Linked DNA regions of Ovis aries. Each later gene encodes a partner of the first gene's protein in a complex. Links are inferred from orthologs where the notes say so. Each region holds a gene or a part of one and is shown in the gene's direction. Other genes may lie near its edges. The genes, in order: GNAI1, NUMA1, GRM2, EDNRB, PTGDR2, MTNR1B and HRH4.

Region 1 (4,000 bases):
TTTTAAACAAAGTTTTTATTTTTATTTTTAGAAAATAAGACTTATAAATGGTTGCTCTTTGGTTTCTGTTAGAGCAATTACCTAATATAACACATCAAAGAAGACGTTTTTCTTTGCTACCAACCCAGTCTTATAATCAACCAACATTTCCTGTGATATCTGTAAGGAAAAGTGCAACTGACAGAGACCAGATCTTAAGCCTATGCTCATTGATGACACGCTGGGTGAGATGCCTCCAACGCCCACAGAAGTGATTTCTCCCAGACCAGGTAAAGCTGGAAGGATGGAGGCTAGTGTGGATCAGTTCCATCTCATTTTATGGTTCAGGAAGCCAAAGCCTGCAATAAAGAATGACATGCCCAGTGGCTTCTGATTTACTAACATGGTCATGAATATTGGTGCAGAACTTGGCTTGGAAGCTTCTATGTCGCCCCAGAGGAGGTCAGTTACGGTGAGGAGGGGTTTTGTTTGTGTGGGTGTGTTGGCTCTTATTTTAAAAATATACTCTTTGATTCTTTGTCTCATATTTTCTCAGGTTTGAGGAAATCCTTCAAAATGTTTTCTGCCTGTGGAAAGGAACGTGAAAATGGATGGTAGGAGGGAGGAGAGAAGGAAAAAAAAAAAAAGGAAGAAAGTTGACCTCTTGTCCTCCCGGGACTTTCTGTTCCCCACTTCACCTGCTCGGCTTTCTCCATGGCTCCATTCCCAAACCAGCTCGCTCTATCTCCCACCGCCATGAAGGCCCGCTAACACGGGTTTGCATTTTGAAAACCCTCGCGCGCCCGCCCGAGCTGGGCATGCTCAAACGCCCAGGACTGGTTTTTTTTCGGTTTCCAACTTTGGCAGCTCTCCCACCCGCACCCCAAGGGGCAGGTCCGCACACATCCCTGGGTGTGAGTAAATGGGAAGAAATTATCACACTCTCGAGGAGGAAGCCAGGTAGAGGAATTCCCCGAGAGGTTTGGGGCTCCTTGGCCGCTTCCCAGGGGCGCTTCCCACGGGCGCGCGCGGGTGGCCGGCCCTCGCGGGCTGTGCGGCGCCAGGGTCCGCGGCAGCGCGGGTGCGCGCGCCCATCCGAGGGGGCGAGGTCCGAGGGCTCGTGCGCGGGCGCGCGCTCTGGGAGTGGTCGCGGGGCGGCGGGCGGGGCGGCAGGGGCGGGGACGCGGCGGCGCGCGGACGCCTCGGCGAGCTGGGCTTCTTAGAGGCTGCAGCGCGGCCACCAGTAGGAGGCCGCTGGCAGCTGCTCCGAGAGCCTAGGAACCTGGTCTTAGGGGGCGCCTAGGGAGGCGAGGAGTAGAGCCTGACTGTAGAAAAGAGCTGCGCGGTGCTGCTCGCCCTTCGGCAGAGAGCGCTGCCCTCGCTCAGTTTCGGAAGGAGGTAGGGGTGGCGTGGCCGGCGTCAGGAGGAATTCGAACGCCTGCATCCAGAAAGAAAGAATTCACCTGTGTTTCGAGGCAGCGCGCCGGACTTGGAGGGAGCGGCAGCCAGCTTTCGCTCCTGGCACAATGGGCTGTACGCTGAGCGCCGAGGACAAGGCAGCGGTGGAGCGGAGTAAGATGATCGACCGGAACCTCCGGGAGGATGGCGAGAAGGCGGCGCGCGAGGTCAAGCTGCTGCTGCTCGGTAAGGGCGGCCGGGCCGGGTTGGGCGCCTGGTGGGCCTGGAACCCGGGGTTCGGGCGGCAGAGCCGGGCGCGGCTGTGCTGGGCTCTTTGGCGTTGGGAAACCCGGAGGGGACGTGCCAAAGCGGCGGAGGGCGCATCGTGTAGCGTCCGAGGATGGTTTCGGAGCGCGAGCTTGTGCCGCGCAGAGCTGAGGCGGGGGCCCCTCTCCTCGGTCTTCTTCTCTTTGCTCCCTTGGCCGCGGAGAACTCGCCGGTGGCGCGGCAAGACTTCACTCGCGTGCCTGGTGTGAAATTTCACCAGGAGCCCAGGAGCGGTTCGCAAGGAAGCCCCCTTCTTTTAAGTTAGCTCAGCTTTATCAAAATGAAAGGGCATTGGCGAAAAAGAAAGAAGAGCACCCCCCGCACTAAAACCCTGCGTACAAGGCATCGTATCGCGGTTGTGGTTTCCTCGAGGATGTCAAGAGTGCCACGTTTTGTGAAATCAGTGCACCTTTTGTGGGGCCTCCCTAGGGTTGAATTGTGTCTTTCTGGTGAACTTCCTATGGCGACTCAGTAAGTGTTAAAGGAGCACTGATTACATTTACCTTGCGTAGGGGAAGTAGGCTATGCTGGATTTTTAAAAATAACTGTGGGGATATGAGAACCACCAAAGTTGGGTAACTGGCTTCAGTAAAACCGATGTGAAAGGTGTGAATGGGTCACACGGGACAACAGGATTCTCCTCTGCTGCCAGGGCTTCTGATGAATGAGATTTGCCAGGTCGACGCAAGGCTTTTATTTGTTCTTAGTATTGTTCTGGTGGTAAAACGCTCTGCGGAGGTCTTTTCCAGCTGTTTGAAGGAAGGGAACGTGAAAAGAGTAATCCAGGATTTTGATTGAGGGATACATTTGGAAAATATTCACAGTTTAAGATTTTTGATGTGTGAGTTAGGATTTTCTTTTGTTTGCCCCGCCCCCCCACCCCCCGCAAACACACCACACCACCCTACCTATAGGTAGCAAAGTAGGTGAAAGATTTCTCAGAATCTTTGTTTGCACTGCAGCGACTGCTTTTGTTTTTGTAACAGTTATAATAAAATAAATACTATTGCACAAGCCTATTTTCAGTAAGCTTCTGTTTCATTGGTTTAATGAGTGCAGGAAAAATGGTGGGTTTTTTTCTCCATTACTAGTAGGCTTAGAAGCTGCAAACTTGGCATGACTAAAAGTAATAATGATCTGAGTCATTCTACAAGTAAACTGTGAAATAACTTTGCATTTTAGAGACCTGGTGGTTTTTCCACACCTCCCCCTACCCAAAGTAAATCTTTCTCAGTTTATACTGTTTACCTAAGTTTTTACATTAATAAGAAATAGTCTTTTGAGGAAGGCAATATATTTTTAGTATCTTGAACACAGAAGGGACATACCTTGGTATGGGAACATATAGGTGCTCCTCTTTCAAATGGAATGTGCTTCAGACAAAAATGGAGAAAGGATTGAAAAGTTCTCTTCAGCAGTTTGTGCACTCCTGCTCTGATGTATTATTTCAGTGTATTGTGTGACGCTCATTTTGAGCCAGCTATCCACCATGTTTGTTTAAAGCCTTGAAAAATGAGTCCTCTGGTATGGTAATATGCTTTACATAGATGTCTATTAGAAATAGACAAGGATAAGGGTCCAAGGAGTTGGTGTTTGCTTATATTCAGAAGAGATCAGTATTTCTCAAACTTAGCACTACTGGCATTTTGGATGGAATATCTCTTTGTTGTGAAAGCTGTGTTGTGCCTTATAGGAAGCTTAGCAGAATCTTTGGCCTCCAACTAATGTCTCAAACATGCCCTAGGGGCAAGTTTAATCTCAGCTGAGACTAGCTCTTCTAGACTGAAAAATATATACTGAATATGTAGGGTAGAACCTGAGTTTGGATCTCTACCATGAACTGTAGTGAGAACTCTGAGGGAGGTGTAGCAGAGCTACGATTTTCAGAAGAAATTAAGGAGTTTTGTTTCTCCATACCAAGTACATTAGAAGGCTTTCAAAATGACTTAAAATCTTTAGGTAGCTGATTTTTTTCAGCTCTCTTTTTTAGCTTTAGTCTTGTGCTGTTCCCACACCTTTTCTCTGTAGAAGTCCCATCATAGCATCATATTATTGGCCCAGTGAATTAGGCCTTACAAAACAGAGGACCTCCTCGTCTGTCTTACTCCCATCCTACCCTCTACCCTTTTGCCCAGAGTTCCAACATTCTAGTTCCTTTAAACAGAATGTTGGCTTATTCTTGGAATGTTTGAAAAAATATTTCTTTTTCCTAGTTTGACTTTAGCAGTGAAGTGTTGACCTTTGGTTCTTTGGGGGATTTTTTTTTTTAGTTCTTAGTGTGTAAAGAGCTCAATTA
Region 2 (4,282 bases), on another chromosome or scaffold:
TAGGGTCAGTTAGGAGTCAACCCGAAGCTAGCTAATCATGGCAGGACCAGACACAGGTGTCGTGTTAGATTGTTTACTTCTTGTTTAGTTAAATCTGTTTAATTTCCATTGCCTTCAGTCTCTCTAGTTCCCTCTCCCCATTTAAACTTTCAAGGAAAGATTTGAAACTCATTCAGGGTGAAATGTCAATATCCCAATGTAGGCTATAAAAGGGTCTTTTGCCCCAGGGCAGTTAAACTACTTTGAATAAGTCCTTAAGCTAGAGAGGCTGTAGGCTCAAGCTTGGCTGACAGCAAACTGGGGTCTAGTCCTAGTTGTTACTGACTTGGTGTGTGGCCTCCGGCAAGTCACTACTCCTCTATAGGTTTCAGTTTTCCAATCTGTGATATGGGAATAAATATCCTTGGACTCACTAAGCTCAAAAAAAGACTTGGATGTGAAAACACTAGGTAAGTCGCTAAATATAAGAAACCTGTCATGAATACTGTTAAAAGGAATGAAGCTTTAACTGCAGAACTTGGAGAAGCAGACCACAGAGTAGTGTAGGGATAAAATATAATTTAAGGATAGAACCCCTAATAAATATGTGAGGGAAGATCCTGCTGACTCTCTGAAAAGGAGGCTCTACCCTGGGGTCTTCCTGCTTGGAAGGAAAGGGGCAGTTCAAGCCCCAGAAAGTTTCCTACATCTCCAGAATTAGGGACTGTGATTTACTCTAATCCTACTCCCAGGTTTTGAAGAGTTAGTCGACCAGAGGAAAACCAACTCCACGTTTGACGGCGTTTCAGATCTCCCAGGATATGTCAGGGATTTGAGACAGTAGTACTAGGGGAGGGATCCTATCTTTGTGACGGGGGAGGTTCTTAAGGCCCCCATATCTGTCTGGGTATATTTCTCAGAATTCCCTTCCCTCCCCTCGCCCATCTATCCCACAAGGGTTTGTGTCTTGTTGACTGTGAAAAGGAGTTAGCGGCAAAGGGGGTGGGGAGATCTCAGGTTCCCAAGAAAGAAAGCTCTTAACAGTGTGCCCCTCCCCTCTCATAGAGTTCTTGTACCCTAGAGCAGGCTTCCTGTTTTCCCGCCCAACTCACCCGCAGTTGCTTCCCCTCCAGCCTCCGAGTCCACTACCTCACGGTTACTCAGCGCAACTCCATGGTAACTATTTACGTCACCACGTCCCCTCTAAGAGCCGTAGGCGCTGCCGCGATGCCTACTGGGAACTTTAGTTCCTCAAGAGAAGCGCTCCAAAGCCGCGGGTGGTGCTGGGACTTGTAGTTGTCTTTGCACTCAGGCCGCCGGGCCAGGGTCCGGAAGTTGTGGCACCCTTTTCCCCTTTCCAGTGGCCCTCACACTTCCTTTCCCCGGGTCCTTCAGGCTGCTTCTGCGTGCGACGCCAGCCGACAGGGGCCAATCGCAGGGCGACGCGAGGGGGCGGGGCCATAGTTTAAACTAATTGTGCGCTCATAGCGCTGGCGCGGGCCCGAGAAGAAGGCGATCCTGGGGAAGTGAGAGTCGGAGCGGGAGCGCGCGGCCAGGTAATGGCGCGGGCCCGCTACTAGCGTGCGGCTGGGGCGCCTGCAGGGATGCCCGAGTCTAAAAGAGGTGCTGAAGAGGCGGGTGCGGGCGGAAGGCCTCCTTCATAGGCGAGGCTGACTGGGGAGAGTCTTTCGAGGGTAAGGTTTGTGAGGAAAGGGCCTTGTCCGAGAGGGAGGTGCGGGGCGTGCTTAGGGGGAGGGTCTGTTTGGGGGCGTGTCGGTGGAATTGTGTCGGGGGGCGAGGCGGGTGTGGGTAACGCAGGTTCCTGAAAGGCGTGTCGCCGAGGGTTCCTGTAGTGAGAAGTCTTCGCCTATTATTGTTAACAATAGTGGTAGTAGTAATAATAAACATTTTCTGAGGACCAGCTACGTTTCAGACACCGTGCCACACCCTTTATATGGATCATCTTTTTAATATTCCTAACAGCTTTTTTATAGTTTATTACAGATGGGCCGCCTGAGGTTTATGTTCAGCTTGGCCTCGGTTACATAGCTCGTGCTTGGTTGGCTATACTGGGTTTTTTTGTGGGTTGGGTCTAAGTGAAGGGGAGGGATTGTGTTGGCCGTGCGGGTCGTCTGCGGCGAGTCAGTTTCTTTTGAGTCTCACTTTTTTCATATATAAACAATGAATTTACCTGCCTTATCTACTTTCCTGCCGTTATGAGGGTCAAATCAGGTGAGCTGTTTCTTGCAAGCATCTTGGCGAGTACACATTTTTGAGTATAAGTGATGTGACTGCTGTGAATATATGGGAAGCTAGAGGGAATGTTCAGATCAGGTAAGGCAGCCTTCAGCCTGCAGGGTTGAATGTGTTCTCTCCCTTCTGATCCTGTGTGGTATTTTCTCCTTCAGAGGAAGAAGCGCATACTTCTTTGTGAAAGCTGCCAAAGTACTCTCTTCTTGGCCCAAGTTCAAGCAAATGATGACTAATTATAAAGCCTGAATCCTAAATCCATAGCCAAAAATTATACTCCCCCAAACTAGAAGATCTTAACCAAAAGCTCATATAAGGGACATTTCTATTTAGAATGTTCTTTTTTTTTAAATTTGTGGAATATGGAAGTGGAAAGAATGCCTTGAACTGAGACTCGAGTTCTAGAACTGTTAGGATGAGGGAAAGCCCTGCCACAGATGGCTAAACAGAGCTGATCAGGAAATGTTTTGGCAGCTTTGTCTAATTGATAAAACCCTACGGTCAGTAGGTATGTTGGAGGCCATTTATTTCAGCACAGTGTACATTAAACAGACTCAAAATGAGCATTTCCAAGAATGAGACCATCCCCAAATGTTAGAACAATTCTAATAAGTAGCATAGTTTTGTGCTTTCAGTGGTTATTTCATTTTACCCATATATGTTTACTGTTTTTTCCATCCTTTCTTGCATTTTATTCCTTCTTTTTCATCAAATAGAGGAATACATACTTCTGATTTTTTTTTTTTTTTGGACCATATTATGCAGCATGTCAGATCTTAGTTCTCCCACCAGGGATCAAACCCATGCTCCCTGCAATGGAAGTATGGTGCCCTAATTCTGGACTGCCACAGAATTCCCCCTTCAGATGTTCTCTTAGTGAGAGTCTGTTAATGGTAAATACTCTGTTGGAAAATATCTTTACTTCCTTATCAATCTTGATTGATAGTTTAGCTGGGTATACTAGGCTTCCAGTTGTTTTACCCCCAGCACTTTGAAAGTATCATTTTACTGAAATTATGGCTTTTTGTTGTTAACTCTTGAGAACTGTGTCCACAATATAACTATTATTTCGTTGTATGTAACCTGCCTTTTTCTCTGGTTGTTTTTAAGATCCTCTTTTTTTGTCATTTGTGTTTTGCACTTTCATTACATGTGTGGATTTAATTTTGTTCTACTTGGGCTTAGAGTGATGCCTCAATCTGGGGTTTCATACCTTTCAGTTTTCTAAAGATTCCCAGTCATTATCTCTTTATTTAAAAAAAATGTTGTTCCATCTGTCACCATACAAAGATGCTACATTAGAGACTCTTTTCCCCACAGTGTACGGTTCATAACCTGTGACTCACTTATTTTGTTACTGGCAGTTTGCACCTCTCAGTCTTCCTCACCTATTTTTTTAATCCCCTCATCCTGCTCCCTCAGCAGCCACCTGTTTTTTCTCTGTATCTGTGAGTCTTCCTGTTTTGTTAGGTTTTTTTATTTGATTTTTAGATTCCATGTGTAAGTGAAATTGTACAATATTTGTCTCTCTATGTCTAACTTATTTCACTCACCTAGTACATGTTATCACATGTACTCACCATCCATGTTGTCACAAATGGCAGTTTCATTCTGTTGTGTGGCAGAGTAATATTCCATTAGAGTATATGCCACACCTTCTTTATCCATTCATCTACCCATGTGCATTTAGGTTGCTTCTATATCTTGGCTGTTGTCAGTAATGCTGCAGTGAACATAGGGATGTTCATATATATCTTTTCCAATTAGTGTTTTCATTTTCTTTGGATATACACCCAGGAGTGGAATTGCTGGATCATATAATAGTTCTATTTTTAACTTTTTTAAGAACTTCCATACTATCTTCCATAGCGGCTGCACCAATATACATTCCCCTCAACAGTGCGTGAGGACAGTTTTGTTCTTCAGGATTGTTTTGGCTATTCAAGGTCTTTTGTGTTTCCATACAAATTTTAGAATTACAGTATTTGTCTTAGTTCTATGAAAAATTACCTTGGTATTTTGATAGAGATTGCATCAAATTTGTAGAATGCCT
Region 3 (3,500 bases), on another chromosome or scaffold:
GGATGTGTGTGCAAGTGAGGAGGAGGGCACCCCAGGATCTGCAGTAAGTGCAGGATGACCAGGTGAGGGGGAGGGACCCAGGCCCTCCCTCCTGTTCTTCCCACAAGGGGTCAGCAGAAGGCACAACTGATGGCCTTTGGCGCACCTGGCTGCTGCGGCCCAGGGGGATCCTCCTTGTCCTTGACTGGGTTCCACCTCTTGCCTGGACCCTTACCTGTCTAGTGCCAGCCTAGGCTGCTGGAAGATGAGGCCAGAGCTGAGATTGGTGTTGGGAGTCGCAAGGAGGGCCTCGTCTAGGGGCCTCAGCTGCCTCGAGGATGCCAGCAGAGGACATTGCCATCAGAAGCCAGGCCGGGACCCCTGACCCAGAATGCTTATTTAGGAGAGAGGAAGCAGGAGTCTGAACCAGGGAGGCAGCTTCTGGCCTGGGGTGGGGAGGGAGGCCTGCTCATACCCCTAATGCAGGGAATGAATTACCGGTTCTGCTGGGCCTGCTGCTGGATGTAGCCAGTGGTAGCTTGGACAGGCGTGGCTGCACCAGCACCTCCATCTGTAGTCTGAGCTAGGGGCAGGGATGGGGAGGCAGCCTCCCACTGCTGATGTCTTCAGGGGCCTCTGGGGTGCTTTCCCAGCACCCCCTGTGCACAATTCTTTTCAGGGCCCCTTGTATTTACCTCCAGGAGCCCAGTTACCTCTGCCTCACCCCAAGCTGCCTGACTCCCGCAGCAGGACCCACAGCTCAGCGTCCATCTGCTTTTTCCTTGTCTGGGTCAAAACAAGGCTCAGTCCTTTATCCTGCAGCTGCACCTCTCTGCAATGGTTCGTCCACATTACTAGCCCTTCTCTCTCGCCGAAATCCCTATCATCTTCCAGGCACTGTGGCTTCATGTACATCAATATTCTTAATCAGCTCAGCAACCTTGGAAGGCAGGAATGAGAAACTGAGGTTCAGGGAATTTCCTAACTTGCCCAGGGGCGCAGAGTCAGACAGTAGAGGGAAGGCGCTGACACTGCCCGAGTAAATGTCTATGTCCCAGCTGCAAACACAGGACCTGACTCCCTCTTGTGGAACCTGGGCCATGCCCTGCTCTCACCCACCATGCCACCAGGTTCTTGGCTGGACCTCACTCTTAGGGGCACATCCCAGGGATCTGGGGGTGAGAGACTGGCTGCCAGGTAGGCAGGAAGCCTTGTTAATTTCTGGCTCAGGCATCCAATAGAGACCCACTCTTGGGCTCTCAAATCTTAGTCTTCCTTCTTTGGGGAGCCTTTTCCTTCTCTTTCCATCATCCCATCAGCATTGACTCTGGGATAGAGAGCTTAAGACCCCTAAGCATCCCAGAGGCCATCCAGTGCCTCCTCCCTGTGCAGCCAACGGATAACCTATCTCCACTCAGGACTTAGGTTTTTCCTTAGCTCTCTCCTTTTGCTACAGCTGTGCATCTGAAGGGAGACAGGGGAGGGGTTCAAGTGTGGCTCAGGACCACGGTGCCTTGGCCCTACGTCTTTCTGAGCCCTTAGGAAGGGACAGAAAACTTGCTGCCCCCAGGGGGAAGACACATCAAAACAATGTAGGTCTTTGGAGAGAGGGAGACATCATGACATCATGACATAGATGACCACATGGGCACTTGATCCCAAAGTCTGATAGCTGGGTTGAGGGGCACAGCCGTCTCTAGCATTTGACTTTGTCTCTATCTTTGCCCTCTCAACCACTCCCCCCACCCCGCCCACCCCACTGCAGGTGGCCAACCTCCTGCGGCTATTTCAGATCCCTCAGATCAGCTATGCCTCCACCAGTGCCAAGCTGAGTGATAAGTCCCGCTATGACTACTTTGCCCGCACGGTGCCCCCCGACTTCTTCCAAGCCAAAGCCATGGCTGAGATTCTCCGCTTCTTCAACTGGACCTACGTATCCACCGTGGCATCCGAGGGTGACTATGGCGAGACAGGCATCGAAGCCTTTGAGCTAGAGGCCCGCGCCCGCAACATCTGCGTCGCCACCTCGGAGAAGGTGGGCCGCGCCATGAGCCGCGCGGCCTTCGAGGGCGTGGTGCGAGCCCTGCTGCAGAAGCCCAGTGCCCGTGTGGCTGTCCTGTTCACCCGCTCCGAGGACGCCCGCGAGCTCCTTGCTGCCAGCCAGCGCCTCAATGCCAGCTTCACCTGGGTTGCCAGCGATGGCTGGGGGGCCCTGGAGAGCGTGGTGGCAGGCAGTGAGGGTGCTGCTGAAGGCGCCATCACCATAGAGCTGGCTTCCTACCCCATCAGTGACTTTGCCTCCTACTTCCAGAGCCTGGACCCATGGAACAACAGCCGGAACCCCTGGTTCCGTGAATTTTGGGAGCAGAGGTTCCACTGCAGCTTCCGGCAGCAAGACTGTGCGGCTCACTCCCTGCGGGCCGTGCCCTTTGAGCAAGAGTCCAAGATCATGTTTGTGGTCAATGCTGTGTACGCCATGGCCCACGCCCTGCACAACATGCATCGTGCCCTCTGCCCCAACACCACCCGCCTCTGTGATGCAATGCGGCCCGTCAACGGGCGCCGCCTCTACAAAGACTTCGTGCTCAACGTCAAGTTTGATGGTAATGGTGCCGGCCAGGTCCACCAGGCTGCTGGCTCTCGGAGGGTGAAAGGGAGCAGGCCCTCAGGTTCTAGCACATGGCTAGGAAAATACAGCCCACCGCAAGTCAGGGACTTACCCAAAGGGCTGGTGTCAGAGTTGGGACAAGGCCAGCCAGGCAGGGAGGACTCCAACAGGATCCAGACCTGAGGTGCCACTTCCTGAGATTCTTCCAGAGAGTAGACACCTGGCCTGGCTCTGCACTGTGAGGGTCTCTGCTTCCTGCTTGGGCCTTGCCTTCTATCTCCTGCCTCTTTATCATGCAGGGAGTAGGATCAGGAGACCTCAAGCCCATTGTCAGGCAGCAGGATATCAGAGAGCGTGAGAATAAAGGTACATCAGGATGACCCTCTATTTTCCAGGAAAATTTCTATTCCTAATCTTGCTTTTCCACTCGAGGTGGCCATGGTCTCTTCAAACCAAAAGTTACCTTAATAAAAGTTCCAGCTTCAAGAAAAATAAATGCCACAGGGTCATCACTGTGCTTCAGAAAGAATGACTGCAGGAACAGCGAGAGAGGGTGCCAGGGCTGACAAAGCTTGGAGCTCTGGATCAGGATCAAGAAGAGTAGCAATTCCTATAAGATTGACATTCAGAGTTATGGGAGAGTCAGGCTGGGGGTTAGTGTTGCATTTGGGTCTGATTGGGTTGACATTAGAACAAGGCTAAATTTAGCCCTCTGGGCTAAGTGGAATTTATAGTAGGGCTCATGTTGGATTTTGAGGACTTCAAGGACTGGGTAGAAAGAGTAGAGGCCGTGGGGGACCTGCATTTGACTCCAGGCTGCACCATTCACCATGGGATCTTAAGCATATCATCTGCTAACTTGAACGCCATTAGTCACTGGGACCTGGAATGATGGGGTCCCTGCCTTCTCAGC
Region 4 (3,959 bases), on another chromosome or scaffold:
AATCAGTATACTAACACATATATATGGAATTTAGAAAGACGGTAATGATAACCCTGGATGTGAGAGAACAAAAGAGACACAGATATATAGAACAGTCTTTTGGACTCTGGGAGAGGGAGAGGGTGGGATGATTTGGGAGAATGGCATTGAAACATGCATAATATCATATAAGAAACAAATCGCCAGTCCAGGTTCAATACAGGATACAGGATGGTTGGGGCTGGTGCCCTGGGATGACCCAGAGGGATGGTACAGGGAGGGTGGTGGAAGGGGGGTTCAGGATGGGGAACACGTGTACACCCACGGCGGATTTATGTTGATGTATGGCAAAACCAATACAATATTGTAAAGTAATTAGCCTCCAAAAATCAAGGAAAGAAAAAGAAAACTCAAAACAACAACAACAACAACAACAACAAAATAAATAGTTTTTGTTTAAGCCAAGAGCACCAGACACCCCCAACTAATCGAAGTTTAGGTATCACCGTGGGACGTTTAACTTTTGGGGCAGGGGAGTCTTAGCAGACGTTGCGTGTGCCTATGCTCAGTCATTTCAGACTCTGGGCCACCCTATGGACTGTAGCCCGACAGGCTCCTCTGTCCATGGGCCTTCTCCAGGCAAGAATACTGGGGTGAGTTACCACATCCTCCTCCAGGGAATCTTCCCGACCCAGGGATGCAACCCTAGTCTCTTGTCTCCTGCATTGGCAGGTGGGTTCCTTACCACTAGCACCACCTAGGAAGCGGGCATTAAACACATTTAATTCAGAGCCAGGTTCTAGTCTCCAGCCTCGAGGGCCAGGAGTTGTGTCAAAACTTGGCCTTGGCCGAGGCTCGTCATCTGAAGCGCTTTGAGCCATGATACATCCGCAGCCTTTCAGGACGCATCTCTGTCCGAGGACTGCCCAGTATGGCAGCGGCCAGGTCCGACTGATGCTGTCCAGGCGTCGCCCCAGGGGAAAGGTTGCTGCGCGGTCGCTAGGGACGGAAGGAGTCTGGTGGTGATTGATGGGGAACGGACGAATGAATAAAAGTACTTGTCTTGGGACAGCAAGGATCCCGAGCAAACTGCAGAGGCTACACGGTCAGGCATTCCCTCGGCGTTTCGTCAGAGCCAGACCCTCCCGCTGCTGAAGGGAGGCGCGCTCTGCTCCCGGGCAGCCGGGAACCCAGCCGCGCGCCGGGGAAAGGAGGTCCCTGCCTGGCGCGTCCGGACCAAGAGGTAACCGTTCTGCTTGGTGTTTAAATCAAATCTGTGATTGAACCTTATCCTGGGGCTTCAGTTTGGATTACTTCTTAGTGTGTGTGTGTGTGTGTGTGTGTGTGTGTGTGTGTGTGTGTGTGTGTTTAAAACCTGTAGCTGCAACAGATTAAAATGGGATTGGAGTGAAGGAGGGCTTGAGCGTTTGAAGTCACTCGGAGGGGATAGAAACTTCCGAGTTAATGCAGATAGAGACTCTTCCAATCAGACCAAGTGGAGATGTCAGGGAGATTTTCTTAATCAGCCGGGGCAGTCCTGGGGTGTGTATGGGGGGTGGGAGCGGTGCCGAAGGAGACAGACCACAGGCAGCCGGGAAGGGAGGGGTCTGGGAGTCCAGACACGCGGCATCCGGGGTTGCTGGGGAGTCAAATGCAGAGACTGGCGATGCCCTTGATCGCTAGGTGCCTTGATTTCCCCTGTACCCGCGCGCCGTTGGCCGGAACGAATACTCCTCCCTCTGCGCACACCAGGAGCTCAAAGCTTTGCATTGGACACCCATCCTTTCCTCCCCGTCACACCCCTTCCAGGATACCCCGCCCCACTGCGAGTCATTTACCCCTCAGGGGACGCAGGGGAGGAAAAACCAGCGAAAGCTGGCTCTGGAGGGACCGTTTAGGGCGCAGGCGAGTCCCACGCGCCAGAGTTCCCCACTGCAGCGCCAGCTCGACTTATTAATACTTTCGCGCGCTGAGAGTGCGGGCGCTGCTGCGCTCCGGGACAGCTGCTTGCAGGGGCGTGGCTGGGGACGCTGACCCGGGTGTCCTGTCTTCCTTCCCTTGCTAGTCTCTAGACTCGGAAAGCTGAGGAGCGGCCACCCGACTCCCTCTGGAGCAGGCAGCAGCATGCAGCCGCTGCCCAGCTTGTGCGGACGCGCCCTGGTGGCGCTGATCCTTGCCTGCGGCGTGGCAGGGATCCAAGCAGAAGAGAGGGAATTCCCGCCAGCCGGGGCCACTCAGCCACTTCTGGGGACCAGAGAGATGATGGAGACCCCGACTGAGACCTCCTGGCCCGGGAGGTCCAACGCCAGCGAGCCGCGATCGTCCGCAACACCGCAAGTTCCTAGAGGGGGAAGGATGGTGGGAATCCCACCGCGCACCCCACCCCCGTGCGATGGACCCATAGAGATCAAGGAGACTTTCAAGTACATCAACACGGTGGTGTCCTGCCTAGTGTTCGTGCTGGGCATCATCGGAAACTCCACGCTGCTGAGAATCATTTACAAGAACAAGTGCATGCGAAACGGTCCAAATATCTTGATAGCCAGCCTGGCTCTCGGAGACCTGCTGCACATTATCATTGATATCCCCATCAATACCTACAAGGTAAGGGATGCCTGCCAGGATCGCGATGGGAGGGCGCACCCTCAGGACCAGGAAGATGGGAAAGTCTTTGCAGGGAGGCTCCTCAAGAAGAGCCATCCCCCCTCCCCGGCTCCCCCAACTCCACCCTCCGGCCCTACACCCCCGCTTCCCGCCCCCCCCCCCCCCCCGCCCCGCACTTCCAATAATCATTGGAACCAAACACCCTTCTGGTTTCAGTAGCCCCCTGCTAAGCCTAGAAAAAGCATAGTCCCCAGACCAGCAGCCTAAATATAACTTGGGAACTTGTTAGAAATGTATTTTAACAAACCCCCCAGGTAAAGTTTGAAAGGTACTGGTCTTGAAGGACCTTGTCCCTAAATTCAGCTCACAAAGGTATATTCGCTCTGCTCAGAGATTCATGGACCATGGACTGGCAGATTGTTATCACCTGAAAGCTTGTTAGAGCTCCATGTCTACCCCAGATTTATTAAATCAGAACCTGCATCTTACAATACCTATGTGATTCTTATGCATACTAACCTTGGGAAACGAATAGATTTTTAGAAAACGAATGACCTAAGGGAAAAAGTCCCAGATAGGTGAGTGGGAAAACACAGTTCATCTGCTGTGAATGACTGTATCCTATCTGGTTTTTCTTTACTGAATGCCTATGATGGGCCAAGCACCGGGATAAATGTGTTACTTTTCCTTCCTCCTTCTAACAACCTATGAGTAGATATGACTCCATTTTATGAATGATAGGATGCTCAAGGTCTCACAAGGAGTAAGTGATGGAGCTGAGGAAAATCAGGCCCAATCTGTCAGGTTCCAAAGTGCAAACTGCACCGAATCAATTACTTTGCGGACAAGACCAAGAACACCTAACGGCAGTCTGTCACAGTTTCAGTAGCTAACATCATTGTGTGATTACCACTGGCATCAGAGGAAATGGGCATGAAGAGCTAGGGCAGGACACAAACCTCCACATGATTTGACTCTCGCTTGCTTTGAAACTCTGAACATATCCTAACATCTCTGGACCTCAGTGTCCTTAACTCTACAGTAAGCTGCTGAGTGAAGTCGCTCAGTCGTGTCCACTCTTTGTGACCCCATGGACTGTAGCCTACAAGGCTCCTCTGTCCATGGAATTTTCCAGGCAAGAGTACTGGAGTGGGTTGCCATTTCCTTCTCCAGGGGATCTTCCCAACCCAGAGATCAAACCCAAGTCTCCTGCATTGCAGACAGACACTTTACCATCTGAGCCACCAGGGAACCCACCAACTGGAATTTTGTGGCATTGAGAAAACAGCCTAAGGGAAAGAGATGGAATATTTTAAAGGACTATGCAAATATGTAAAACTCTGCATCCCCATCGTAATCAGCAATAGAAAGTCACC
Region 5 (3,960 bases), on another chromosome or scaffold:
CATCTTGGACGAGAGTGAGCAAGCTTCCCCATCACATTCCTCACTCAGGAACTGCAGTCTCTCAGCAAATTTATCAAGTGCCAGGCCCTACATTAAGCCTGTACCAAAAATGGAAGTGTTTTAGAGTCAATCCTGTAGCGGGGGGTGGGTTTCCGAGTTCTTAATGTGTTTTGGGTATTTCCTGGGTGCTAGATGCTGAGGTTGGAGGAAGAGTCCTGACCTCAGGAAGCTTGGTTAGCAAAAGGAGATCAATCATTTCATCCATGGGGTCCGAGCCCAGACCTTTTTATTATTATTTTGGCCTCCCCCGCATGGCTTGTGGGGTTTTTAGTTTCCTGACCAGGGATTAAATCTGGGCCCTTGGCAGTGAGAACTGGACCAGTAGGGAATTCCCAGTCCATTTGAAATAAAAGCTGTATTGCCCTTGCCCAACAGTCTATACCCATTTTTCTCCCAGAGGGAAGAAACCTGATTTTTATGAGCACCTACTGTGTGCTGGGTCCGTTGTGAATGAGGGCGCCTGGTCAGCCTTGGAGGTGACACTGTCGCTCTTGGTCACAGATGGACAAGCAGGGGCAGGAAGGGGAAGTGGCTTACCTCCCGGCTAGGACTGCGGGCAGCCTGGACAGCCAGACCCGCGCTCTTACCACAGCCCCACCCTGCCTTCCTGGCCATAGAGCCCTCAGGGCCATTGCACAGACCACCCCTACCCCTGGCCCCTGTGCTGCCTGCGCACAAGGCAGGAGCCACATGAGTTTCTATCCTGAGGGTGATGGGGTCAGGGGACCCCACCAGGGAGGGCAGTCCAGGATAGGACAGATGGACAGGACACCCTTCTCCTCAAGCACTTCTCCTAAACACCTGCCACTCTCAAAATGAACATGGGCTCACACTTTCTGCCCTACACCTATTTTTCCATGTGCACTTACACTTGACCCTGGGCTTTTGCAAAATCGCCTTTGTAAAGAGAGACAGGATGAGCTGGGCTGCTGGCAGTTACATCCAGTCCCCATCAGTGGAGATGGATGTTACTTGAACACCAGTGTAATAGCTCACTCTCTAGCTGTCCCCCCCCCCCCCCCCCCCCGCACCCCTCCCCTAAATATACACGCACTGACTCTGGGGCTAACAGCTATTTCCTCCCTCAGCCTCCCTCCCCTCTCTCTGCCTGCCCGCTGCCTCCTGTCTGCCTCGAGGAGCTGACTGCCACTGGGGCTGGAATCCTGTGTGCTCTCTATGCCAGGTAAGGAGACGGTGGCCCTGGGGCTGGGCAGCTTCAGTGCCTTCTCTGGACCTAGGAGAGAGGGCATAGTTTTATCAGGGGAGAGGACTGTTACTAGCTAGGATGGCAGAGAGTAGGGTTTACCGAAGACTGGAGGGGACTTACTGCTCTGAGGAGGGAAGGACCACAGTTCCTTAGGTAATTACTAGACAGCAGTCACAGTGATAGACCATTAAAGCTCTTTTTCAAGACTCAGGAGTCATCTGGGTAGAAGGGTTCCAAGAGTGGGTCCTATGGTAATGGACCCCAAATTCACCCAGCCAGGAAGTCAAGGAGCTGGGATTTAAAGCCAGGTCTCTGACACCAAAAACCTAGTGTTCTCTGCCCCCAGCCCTCTGTCAAAACAGGACCCTTGCTGCTGGGCTTCCTGAGAATCCTGGGAGGCTGGGGGCCAGACTCTTGTCAGCCAGAAGGTCCATTCTGGCTCAGACCCCAGGGCACAGCAGGACATGCTTTCGCAGCATCCTCGGGGGACTTAGATGGGGCTAAAGGGAACGTTTCAGCACAGGGAGGGGCTGGCATGTGTGTGTTTGCTGAGAGTGGAGTTCCTGCAGCCCCCCTTCCCCAGCAGCTGAGGGACACTGGGTAAGATCTTGTGCTCCTCTGAACCTCTGTTTCCTCTTCTGAAAAATGGGGTCGCACAGGGTCATTGTGAGTGTAATTGCTCTGCAGACTCTAGAACTTGGGAAATTCTAGCGTTCTAGGGAGCACACGGGGACAACAGCTTCCCTCCTCCATACCTGCAGGTCCCGAGCTCCAAGTGCCTCACCTGTCAAGGAAATTCTAGTTTGATATCCTGGGCCCTCATCCTATGAAGGACCGTGGTCCCCAAAGAAGGGTGTAGATTTTCTCATCCTGGCCAAAAGTGTCTCCTGTGGAAAGATGGATAGTGAAGATCACTCCCCCTGACCCTGCCTTGCTTTTCCTTCTTTCCCTCCATCACCTCATGCTTAGAGCTCAGAGGCAGAGGAAAGGGAACAGATTGAGTGCTAAACTCTTGTTTCTCCACCTGCTTGTGTTATTCAGGAAATTTTGGGAAAGTGATGGAAACACTTGAGTCTCAGTTTCCTCATCTGCAAAATGGGGTGGAGAGAAGTACCAGCCCCTTTCTTCTAGAGCCGTGAGCAGGAGAACACCTACATAAAGGACCTACCATGGCTCCTAGCATGTTGTGGGGGCCCAGGTCGATCCAAGTTCCCGCCCCCTGCTACCCTGCTGACTTCCTGCAGGTAGCCTCCCACCCCAACCTCTCTGCCCTCACTGATCTCCACTGGCTCCACTTTGGGTGGTCCTGGATTCTTGATGAGGCTGTGGGTCTGCACTTCGGGGATGTCTGCACATCTGGCCAGAGCCTGGCTTCTCCAGCACTTACCTAAGTAGTTGATCAATAAAGAGCTGTTGAATGAGTGTGTGAGTGAGTGAATAAATGAATGAATCAGGCTGGGTTTCCTGGAACTGGCAGAGTGCCTGTAGCCACCCCTGGGCAGGGGAGAGGTCTTTTGGCCCTACTGGGCCTCCAGAGCCCAAATCTGGTAGTTCCTCCTGCCCAGCTCTCTCCCTGCTCTTATCTTATTTCCTCTTCAACTATCAAGGCGGGGGGCGGGGGGGGGGTGCTTCCACTGTTTGCAGCCACACACCCAACCAGCCACCACTGTAGCAGTGAAGGGCTGCAGGAAGATCGGCAGGGAGGCAAGGTCTGGGGGGTGCTGGGGGTGGGTGGAGGGAAGGCACCCCTTAAAGGCACAGACTCCTTCCCTTCCCGTCCCCCAGCCCAGTTGAATCCTCCTGCCCTTTAGGGGAGCCTAACTCACGCCCCAGTGCTCTAGGGATTGGGAAAAGGGAGTCCCGCCTGGCCTGACCTTGGTACCTATTTCTCCAATTGATCTTAGGCTATCTACTTAATCATGCCATTGATATAGTGCTTACTTTGTGCTTACTCTTGTTTGAAATGCCTATAATGGTTGTTGCTGTAGTTTAGTCGCTAAGTCGTGTCCAACTCTTTTGCAACCCCATGGAGGAACCAGGCTCCTCTGTGCATGGGATTTCCCAGGCAAGAATACTGAAGTGGGTTGCCATTTCCTTCTCCAGGGAATCTTCCCACCCCAGGGACTGAAACCATGTCTCCCAATGGTAGGTGGGTTCTTTACCACTGAGCCACCAGTGCAGCCCCTGAAATGTTTGTATATTTATTAATTCATTTAATTCTCCCAACAACCCTATAACCTAGACACAGTCCCCTATTCTGGCCAGGGTCTCCTGTTGCCCAGAACTGCCCCCCTCCCCCCCACAGCGCCTCTTCCTCTCTGCCGCAGAGCCCATCATGTTGGCCAATGTCACGACGAAGCCACTCTGTCCCCTCCTGGAGCAGATGAGCCGCCTCCAAAGCCACAGCAATTCCAGCATCCGCTACATGGACCATGCTTCGGTGCTGCTGCACGGGCTGGCCTCGCTGCTGGGCCTGGTGGAGAACGGACTCATTCTCTTCGTGGTAGGGCGCCGCATGCGACAGACCGTGGTCACCACCTGGGTGCTGCACCTGGCCCTGTCCGACCTGCTGGCTACCGCCTCCCTGCCCTTCTTCACCTACTTCCTGGCCGTGGGCCACTCCTGGAAGCTGGGCACCACCTTCTGCAAGCTACACTCCTCCATCTTCTTCCTCAACATGTTTGCCAGCGGCT
Region 6 (4,007 bases), on another chromosome or scaffold:
GGTCGTTTCCGTCTCCTGATACACCTGCTGCGTTTTCTTAAAGTTCCTGTTTTCTGCAATGACATTTCAGGCCTCCTGTCTTCGTCTCCCACACTCTTTCCCCCTGAATCCCAGCTAATGAGGTAGCCCGGAGCTCCCTGAGAAGATGGTAGCCAGAGAGGAACTCCCCCATCTCCTGCCGATTTAGAAACACATCCAAATTTGCACTGGCTTATGCTTCATTTCCCCTGTAGGGGGGAAAGCCTCTCTCTCCTAACAATGATCTGCCTTCCTTGGGCTCAGATGCGCTCACCTCTCAAGGCATTTATTGCTTTAACTATAATCTTCTCCTGCAACATCACACCGTTAGAGTTCCTCTCTCGGTTCTTTTGTTTCTGTTTTTTTTTGTGTGTGTGCAGAGTGGGAGAGTAAAATGTACATTAATAACACATACCAATAACATCCCAGAAATTTATTCCATGATCTGTTCCAGTCAATCTTCACCTCGCATTGGGCAACCACTGTTCTGATAACTATCACCATAGATGAATTTCCCTGTTTTTGGACATCATACAATCGGAATAATGAAGAATGTAGGCTTTTATATCTTGCTTCTTTTGCTCGACATAATACTGTTTAGATTAACCCATGTTGTTGTGTATCTGTAACTTTTACTGATGAGTCATATTGACAATTAACAATTGTTTTATCCATTCCTCTCTTGAGGGACCTTTGGGCTGTCTAGGCTACTATAACTAACCCTGCTCTGGACAATTCTTGCACAAATTTTTTTGTGCACATATGTTTCATCTTCATTTCACTGCAGGTCAAAAAGTGGAATATGTTTAATTGTATAAGAAACTACCAAATAGCAGTGACTGTACCATTTTTCATTCTCATCAAAGCAGGTCCTTTACTTCTTTGCCAAATAGATTATCAGCCATTTTGATTCTAGTGATGCAAAAAGTGGGTAAGACAGTACTTGGCATAAAATTACCCTGGAGAGGGACGAGCAATTGTTATTATAAGATTAAGTGCTCACACACTTTAAATAAAGGGCATCTGCGTTTCTTCTTTCCTATAACCATACTGCACTCCTCTTTGTGGTCTAATCCCTTCAAAAAACACCTTATAATAACCCCCACTATTGACCATGCATCTTTTTAAGTACTATTATGTTTAAAAAGATGTTCGTAAGTATTGTCGCGGTTTTATAAAGAGGACAGGGCTGAGGCATCGCCAAGACTTCTCAGGTAAACAGCAAATAAACAGCGCAGGGTCTTCCTTCTCCTGCTGCTGCCTGCCTGATCTCTCCGCGATGCCTGGAGGTATGTATTCGCTTTAGAGGGGCAGTGCCCTTCTGACAGCCAATCAGCAGGTCCTGACGAGCAGCACCTTTTCCAGTCCGAGAATCTGGGTGTCCCTGGACACCCAGCTTCTTGTGCGGCGCGCTCAGGCGCTGAGGCCGGAACCGGGCCAGGCACGTGCTGGGCTCCGGGCGGCGCGCCGTCGCACCTGCTCCTGGGCGAGCCAAGCGGAGACGCGCTTCTTTCAGCAGCGCCTGCACCCCAAATGCTCCTCTCCGTTTTTCTCCGCCCCCTGCCCACGCTTAATTAATCATCTCGTCCAGGTGCCTCGGCACTGGCCTCCTCGCTGGTGCGCGGGGCTGGGCGGGGAAAGGGGCGCCCCGCCTGCGGAGAGACTGGGTGCGCCCTGGCTGGCGCGGCGCCGGAGCGTCCGGGATGCCTGAGAACGGCTCCTTCGCCAACTGCTGCGAGGCGGGCGGCCGGGCCGAGAGCCCCCGCTGGACTGGCGCGGGCGGCGCGCGGCCCTCCGCGGCGCCCCGGCCTCCCTGGGTGGCTCCCGCGCTGTCCGCGGTGCTCGTCGTCACCACCGCCGTGGACATCGTGGGCAACCTCCTGGTCATCCTCTCGGTGCTGGGCAACCGCAAGCTCCGGAACGCAGGTGAGCGCTGCGCCCGCCGCCGCGTCGGCCGCTCCCGGGGGCCGCGTCTCTGGTCTAACACTCACCGCGCAGTCGGCCGCCCGGTCTGTCCTCCGCTCCCCGCGCCGCCTTCCCTTCTCTCAACAAGTCCCCCAGGTTTGGTCTTGAACCCAAACTTAGGTTGAGTTTGCTGCCTTTCCCCAACGTGTGGCTCTTGGAAACGCTCCGGGAAGCACTTGGCGCATCAGTGCGGGCGTAAATCGGATAAAGTTTTTTTCGCGCGCTTCTTGGCAGAGCAGGGAGCTGTGAAAATAGGAGCGTCTGAAAGTCAAAGCTGTCCAAGGCGCTCCAATTTTTGCAGATTTGGATGGTGCCCCTCCGTGGCCACAGGAATCTCGTCTTCAACACCTCCCTCCCCTGCCAAGCACAGTGGTTCACGCAGCACGTGCTTGGAAAATATTTACTGAGACAATGAGTAAATTAGTGGAAACGCTCTAGAGAGATTTGGTCCGATACTTAGCTCCTCATCTTGGTTCCAAACAAGATTGCAAAGGCAGCCGTCGGCAGCCTCTACTTGGTGGGAATTGCATTGTTTTCAAATAACCCCGTGTTTAATGAAGACAGGGAATTCGTAGGACTAAACGAAGATTAAAATAATAATTTGGCAAAATAGTGTTGCAATCCTATTTCTCCCTTTCGATACACTCGTTTCAACTTTCTCATGTGTAGGTGTGCCAGGGAACAAAACCAGAGGGAGGGAGTCTCTGAACTCTGACCCCGAGGGTCATCGGAGCATGCTGACCATCTAGCTTTTGGAGAAGCTCAGTGACCCGTTTGTCCATTTGTCGTTTCCCTGTTTGGGCCTTAGGGGCAACTCAAATGTTAGAGTGAATTAAAATGAAAAGATAGCAGAAAACCAATCAGATAACTTATTCATGCTTTTCTAAGGAGGCAGACCATTCAGAAAGGCTATTTCTAGTACATTGTTATAAACACTTTATGTGACCCAGTGACTCCCAAGCTTTTTTATCTAAAAGAACAAACAAAAATGTGGGCTTCTATCTGTAATATTGGAAACCACATTTGAAGTAATTGTATGGTGACAGATGGTAACTATTTATAGGGATCATTTTGAAATGTATAGAAGTATTGAATCCCTGTGTTGTGCCCTAGGAACTAACATATTGTTATAGGTTAGTTATACTTCAAAAACAAACTCAGAAAAAGAGGTCAGATTTGTAGAGCCAGAGGCAAGAGTTGAGGGCAGAGGAAACTGGATTAAGGCAATCTAAAGGCACAGACGACCACTTCTAAGATAAATAAGTAGTTGGGATGCGCATGGTAAATATAACTCTGCTGTATGTCACATGACAGTTGTTGAGAGTAAATCCTAAGAGTTCTCATCACAAGGACATTTTTTTTCTGTTTCTTTTTGCATCTGTTTGAGATGATGGATGTTCACTAAACTTATTGTGGTAATCTTTTCATGGTGTATGTAAATCAAATCATCTTGCTTTGCTCCTTAAATATACCGTGCTGGGTCTCAATTACATGTCAGTTAAACTGGAAGGAAAGGAAAAGTTAAACTTTCTAACTCAGTCATTTCAGTGGTGGTGACTTTTATTATCTGCAATAACTTTTTCAAGATATTGTTGTGTCCTTGGAATAGAGGCTTATCTTCTAGGAAAGAGCCGGTTAAAATCATTTTGATCATATTGTCTTTTGTAGCAGCCACAAGGATTCATTTCCTGCCCAGGGAAGCAGGGCTTCTCTCCCAGATTAACCAGGTGTTTAGAGGAGCCTTTGTGGGCTTCCTCCGTTGGGCGAGGTGGCTGGGGCCGGGTGCTGTTTCCTTTGCCTGAAGGAGGCAAGCTTCTTCTCCCCTCCTCCATCCGCAGGCAAGCTGGCCTCTTCTTCTCTCCTAGTGAAGTTCACAGAGACCTTATTGCTTTGAGAGTATGGCTGGGGTAGGTAATGAGCGTGTTAAAAACACTAGCACTCCCTGCGTTCATCCTCCCTGTGTCTTGGCGAATCTGCTACAGCCCAGCACCAGAAAAAAGAATTTAATACCATATCTGTGCGTG
Region 7 (2,364 bases), on another chromosome or scaffold:
TAAGATTTTAGAATCTATCAAAGGTCCTGGGATCTGAGAGCAATCCTCCCCCACAGAATCTCATCTTTCCTGATAGAAGCCTGTCCCTGTGCTCAAGTGGGCTTAGAGTATTCTTCACTCCTAAAAAAGACCGTGGCACTCACCACAGCCACATCTCCCCAAGTGGCTGGCCACCATTGCTTCAGTACCATTTTTGCTGGGTGGATACGTTTGTAGAAATAAATGCTAGGTTTTGCTCGTAACACTGTAGTCTCTTCCTACAGCTGATTTAACTCTCTTTCTTTTTGTGCATCATCTTGTGGGAGGAATGTAAGAGTTCTGTCCTTTTTGACCCCACCTGGAAGGCTCAGCATAAACTGCAGGATAGGTTCTGTCTTTCAAACTTTTTTTACTGTGATTTCAGTGATAAATGCATTTTACACTGTGATTTGGTATGCACATTTCTCTCTCTCTTATGTATATCTATTAATGTTTTCCCAAAGCAAGAGTTTCATCAAACAATACATAGCCTTATGATGTGTGAGGCATTCTGACATTGATTATCCCAATTTGTTAAAAATGCTGCTCACGACCCAGCTGGCAGGTTAAAAGCACTGTGAACGTGTTCACTCAAGTTTCAGTTAACAGTTCAGATTAGTGTCTGTGGACTAGGAAAAATTGTGTTCTTCTTTTAGATATTAACCTTGACATTTTCCGTAGTGTCAGATGTTTAACCTTAAACTGTAAGAAAGCCTACATCTAGGCCCAGGGTTCACCAAAACCAAACCCTCTGCCCCGGCCCAATCACATTACCCAGATTCAGTGACCAGCTCCACTGTGCACATCACGGAAACTCCAGAGGGCTGACGGTATGCTTTGTGCAATCAACATGTGCTCATTGTATTAAAAATAATTTATTTGGTTTCTTTTAGGTGTCTTACAGAGCTCAACATACTGGGACCTTGAAGACTGTGACTCTGATGGTGGCCGTCTGGGTGGCGGCCTTCTTAGTGCATGGGCCAATACTAGTTTCAGAGACTAGGAAGGAATTGGGGGCGGATTGCAAACCTGAATTCCTTGAAAAATGGCATATCCTTGCCCTCACGTTACTCTTCGAATTCGTGATCCCAGTCTTGCTAGTGGCTTATTTCAACATGTATATTTACTGGAGCCTATGGAAGCGCAGTCATCTCAGTAGGGGGCTTTCTGGATTCATTTCTGCCCCTTCCAGTAGCAGTGGACGCTCATTCAGGAATGGACTGTTTTCGAGGCCATCTCTTTCCAACCTGGAGGAATCAGCAGCATCCCTTCGTTCTGAGAAGTCAGGAAGAAAGAGCAGCCTCTTGTCTTCCTTAAGACCCCAGATGAATAGTTTAACCGCTTCCAAAACGAGCTCTCTCTCCCATTCAGATTCCCTAGCTCTTCACCAAAGGGAACATCTTGAGCTGCGCAGAGGCAAGAAACTAGCCAAGTCACTGGCCATTCTCTTGGGTGTTTTTGCTGTTTGCTGGGCTCCCTACTCTCTGTTCACAATTATTCGTTCATGTCATGGCACACACTCAGATCTCTCAAACGCTGTGTACGAGTTCACATTTTGGCTTCAGTGGTTCAATTCCTTTGTCAATCCTTTTTTGTATCCCTTGTGTCACAAGAGTTTTCAGAAGGCCTTCTTGAAATTATTTCGGGTGAAAAAGCAGTCCATACTATCACATAATCGGTCAACATCTTCTTGAAGATAATCGTTTTGCTTATGTAAATTTCAGTCTTGCTCTCACTTAAATGAGTCTGGCTTTCATTGTGCCCTTTCCACTCTACTGAAAAAGTCCATAAAAATGTAACACTTGAAACACTGAACAAACAAATAAAAAACCCCTGGAACCTATAAGTCAGTGGAAAATTATTCTGGTGAATAACAACATTATTAGAAACTGACAAGAATATTTCTGTAAACTCAGAGCCACAAAAGCACTATATTTTTCTTAGTCATCACCTCTTCTTTGTCTTTTAGATCTTAAGATAACTTTGATTGTGAAATTCAAAAATTTTGGTTTTCTTTCTAGATGTTCAGTGTTGCCACAGTCTTAAGTGAATTTCCATTTTCATTTTACAGTGATGAAAACTCATCACGTTTTAAGATCATTCTCTAAAGCATACAAAAGGAAAACGAGCTCTTTAGCCCTTTTTCCTGGGGGTGGGTAACGCTGTTATGGTCACTGGGCAGGAGAATTAGGGTTTGAGTGAGGGTGAGGAGGTGAGGATGCTCAGATGAAAGAGCAGAGGGCATGTATACTTCCAGACTCTGCATTCCTGATCCGAGAAAAGAAGAAAGTGTGGGATGATGGGGGAAAGAGGAGGTCACTGCAGCTCTTGAAGGTTCTCAATGAA

The links.
Region 2: GNAI1 (region 1) and NUMA1 share a complex: the UniProt entries of both Homo sapiens proteins name them as parts of the spindle orientation complex. The link is inferred for Ovis aries from reciprocal best matches to the Homo sapiens genes GNAI1 and NUMA1.
Region 3: the proteins of GNAI1 (region 1) and GRM2 are in contact, whole or in part, in a cryo-EM structure (PDB 8JD5), measured with the Homo sapiens proteins. The link is inferred for Ovis aries from reciprocal best matches to the Homo sapiens genes GNAI1 and GRM2. Residues at the interface, in NP_002060.4 of Homo sapiens: Glu28, Ala31, Arg32, Glu33, Val34, Asp193, Leu194, Thr219, Asp337, Asp341, Ile343, Ile344, Lys345, Asn346, Asn347, Leu348, Asp350, Cys351, Gly352, Leu353, Phe354; in NP_000830.2 of Homo sapiens: Lys599, Ala600, Ser601, Gly602, Arg603, Arg656, Ile657, Ile660, Phe661, Ala664, Arg665, Glu666, Gly667, Ala668, Gln669, Arg670, Pro671, Ile674, Pro676, Phe756, Val826, His828, Arg829, Ala830, Pro831, Thr832.
Region 4: the proteins of GNAI1 (region 1) and EDNRB are in contact, whole or in part, in a cryo-EM structure (PDB 8XWP), measured with the Homo sapiens proteins. The link is inferred for Ovis aries from reciprocal best matches to the Homo sapiens genes GNAI1 and EDNRB. Residues at the interface, in NP_002060.4 of Homo sapiens: Ala31, Arg32, Glu33, Lys192, Asp193, Leu194, Glu318, Tyr320, Phe336, Thr340, Asp341, Ile343, Ile344, Lys345, Asn346, Asn347, Leu348, Asp350, Cys351, Gly352, Leu353, Phe354; in NP_000106.1 of Homo sapiens: Asn134, Pro136, Ile140, Asp198, Arg199, Ala202, Val203, Trp206, Ser207, Arg208, Ile209, Lys210, Ile212, Met296, Met300, His314, Gln317, Arg318, Val321, Thr324, Val325, Leu386, Val389, Ser390, Lys391, Phe393.
Region 5: the proteins of GNAI1 (region 1) and PTGDR2 are in contact, whole or in part, in a cryo-EM structure (PDB 8XXV), measured with the Homo sapiens proteins. The link is inferred for Ovis aries from reciprocal best matches to the Homo sapiens genes GNAI1 and PTGDR2. Residues at the interface, in NP_002060.4 of Homo sapiens: Glu28, Ala31, Arg32, Glu33, Val34, Lys192, Asp193, Leu194, Glu318, Tyr320, Phe336, Asp337, Thr340, Asp341, Ile343, Ile344, Lys345, Asn347, Leu348, Lys349, Asp350, Cys351, Gly352, Leu353, Phe354; in NP_004769.2 of Homo sapiens: Arg129, Gln132, Val133, Pro136, Val137, Gln140, Asn141, His142, Arg143, Thr144, Val145, Leu233, Arg236, Arg238, Arg239, Pro241, Arg243, Phe244, Leu247, Thr307, Cys308, Pro309, Asp310.
Region 6: the proteins of GNAI1 (region 1) and MTNR1B are in contact, whole or in part, in a cryo-EM structure (PDB 7VH0), measured with the Homo sapiens proteins. The link is inferred for Ovis aries from reciprocal best matches to the Homo sapiens genes GNAI1 and MTNR1B. Residues at the interface, in NP_002060.4 of Homo sapiens: Arg24, Arg32, Glu318, Ile319, Tyr320, Phe334, Asp337, Ala338, Asp341, Ile344, Lys345, Asn347, Leu348, Lys349, Asp350, Cys351, Gly352, Leu353, Phe354; in NP_005950.1 of Homo sapiens: Arg138, Tyr141, Ile142, His149, Arg150, Arg154, Ile223, Val227, Ala230, Arg231, Lys233, Ala234, Lys235, Thr252, Met253, Asn312, Asn314.
Region 7: the proteins of GNAI1 (region 1) and HRH4 are in contact, whole or in part, in a cryo-EM structure (PDB 9LRE), measured with the Homo sapiens proteins. The link is inferred for Ovis aries from reciprocal best matches to the Homo sapiens genes GNAI1 and HRH4. Residues at the interface, in NP_002060.4 of Homo sapiens: Ala31, Arg32, Glu33, Lys192, Asp193, Leu194, Thr219, Glu308, Asn311, Lys314, Asp315, Lys317, Glu318, Ile319, Phe336, Thr340, Asp341, Ile343, Ile344, Lys345, Asn347, Leu348, Lys349, Asp350, Cys351, Gly352, Leu353, Phe354; in NP_067637.2 of Homo sapiens: Arg112, Ser115, Val116, Ala119, Val120, Arg123, Thr124, Gln125, His126, Ile197, Ser200, Leu201, Arg204, Asp205, Arg290, Val293, Glu294, Arg297, Arg300, Leu301, Ser304, Leu305, Leu308, Cys361, His362, Lys363, Arg364.

Annotation. Positions count from the first base shown.
Region 1 is NC_056057.1:42,546,185-42,550,184, reverse strand, and holds the start of GNAI1 (guanine nucleotide-binding protein G(i) subunit alpha-1), read left to right. Parts: upstream 1-1,200; 5' UTR 1,201-1,505; coding exon 1,506-1,623; intron 1,624-4,000. UniProt on the Homo sapiens protein: Guanine nucleotide-binding proteins (G proteins) function as transducers downstream of G protein-coupled receptors (GPCRs) in numerous signaling cascades.
Region 2 is NC_056068.1:50,438,040-50,442,321, reverse strand, and holds the start of NUMA1 (nuclear mitotic apparatus protein 1), read left to right. Parts: upstream 1-1,482; 5' UTR 1,483-1,678; exon of another isoform or gene 1,679-4,282. UniProt on the Homo sapiens protein: Microtubule (MT)-binding protein that plays a role in the formation and maintenance of the spindle poles and the alignement and the segregation of chromosomes during mitotic cell division.
Region 3 is NC_056072.1:49,193,141-49,196,640, reverse strand, and holds part of GRM2 (metabotropic glutamate receptor 2), read left to right. Parts: intron 1-1,744; coding exon 1,745-2,582; intron 2,583-3,500. UniProt on the Homo sapiens protein: Dimeric G protein-coupled receptor which is activated by the excitatory neurotransmitter L-glutamate. Plays critical roles in modulating synaptic transmission and neuronal excitability.
Region 4 is NC_056063.1:53,649,446-53,653,404, reverse strand, and holds the start of EDNRB (endothelin receptor type B), read left to right. Parts: upstream 1-1,159; 5' UTR 1,160-1,222; intron 1,223-2,044; exon of another isoform or gene 2,045-2,051; 5' UTR 2,052-2,103; coding exon 2,104-2,583; intron 2,584-3,959. UniProt on the Homo sapiens protein: Non-specific receptor for endothelin 1, 2, and 3. Mediates its action by association with G proteins that activate a phosphatidylinositol-calcium second messenger system.
Region 5 is NC_056074.1:34,560,082-34,564,041, reverse strand, and holds the start of PTGDR2 (prostaglandin D2 receptor 2), read left to right. Parts: upstream 1-1,160; 5' UTR 1,161-1,236; coding exon 1,237-1,243; intron 1,244-2,308; exon of another isoform or gene 2,309-2,511; intron 2,512-2,900; exon of another isoform or gene 2,901-2,976; intron 2,977-3,572; exon of another isoform or gene 3,573-3,594; coding exon 3,595-3,960.
Region 6 is NC_056074.1:1,500,641-1,504,647, reverse strand, and holds the start of MTNR1B (melatonin receptor type 1B), read left to right. Parts: upstream 1-1,207; 5' UTR 1,208-1,721; coding exon 1,722-1,944; intron 1,945-4,007.
Region 7 is NC_056076.1:32,579,282-32,581,645, reverse strand, and holds the end of HRH4 (histamine H4 receptor), read left to right. Parts: intron 1-911; coding exon 912-1,712; 3' UTR 1,713-1,864; downstream 1,865-2,364. UniProt on the Homo sapiens protein: The H4 subclass of histamine receptors could mediate the histamine signals in peripheral tissues. Displays a significant level of constitutive activity (spontaneous activity in the absence of agonist).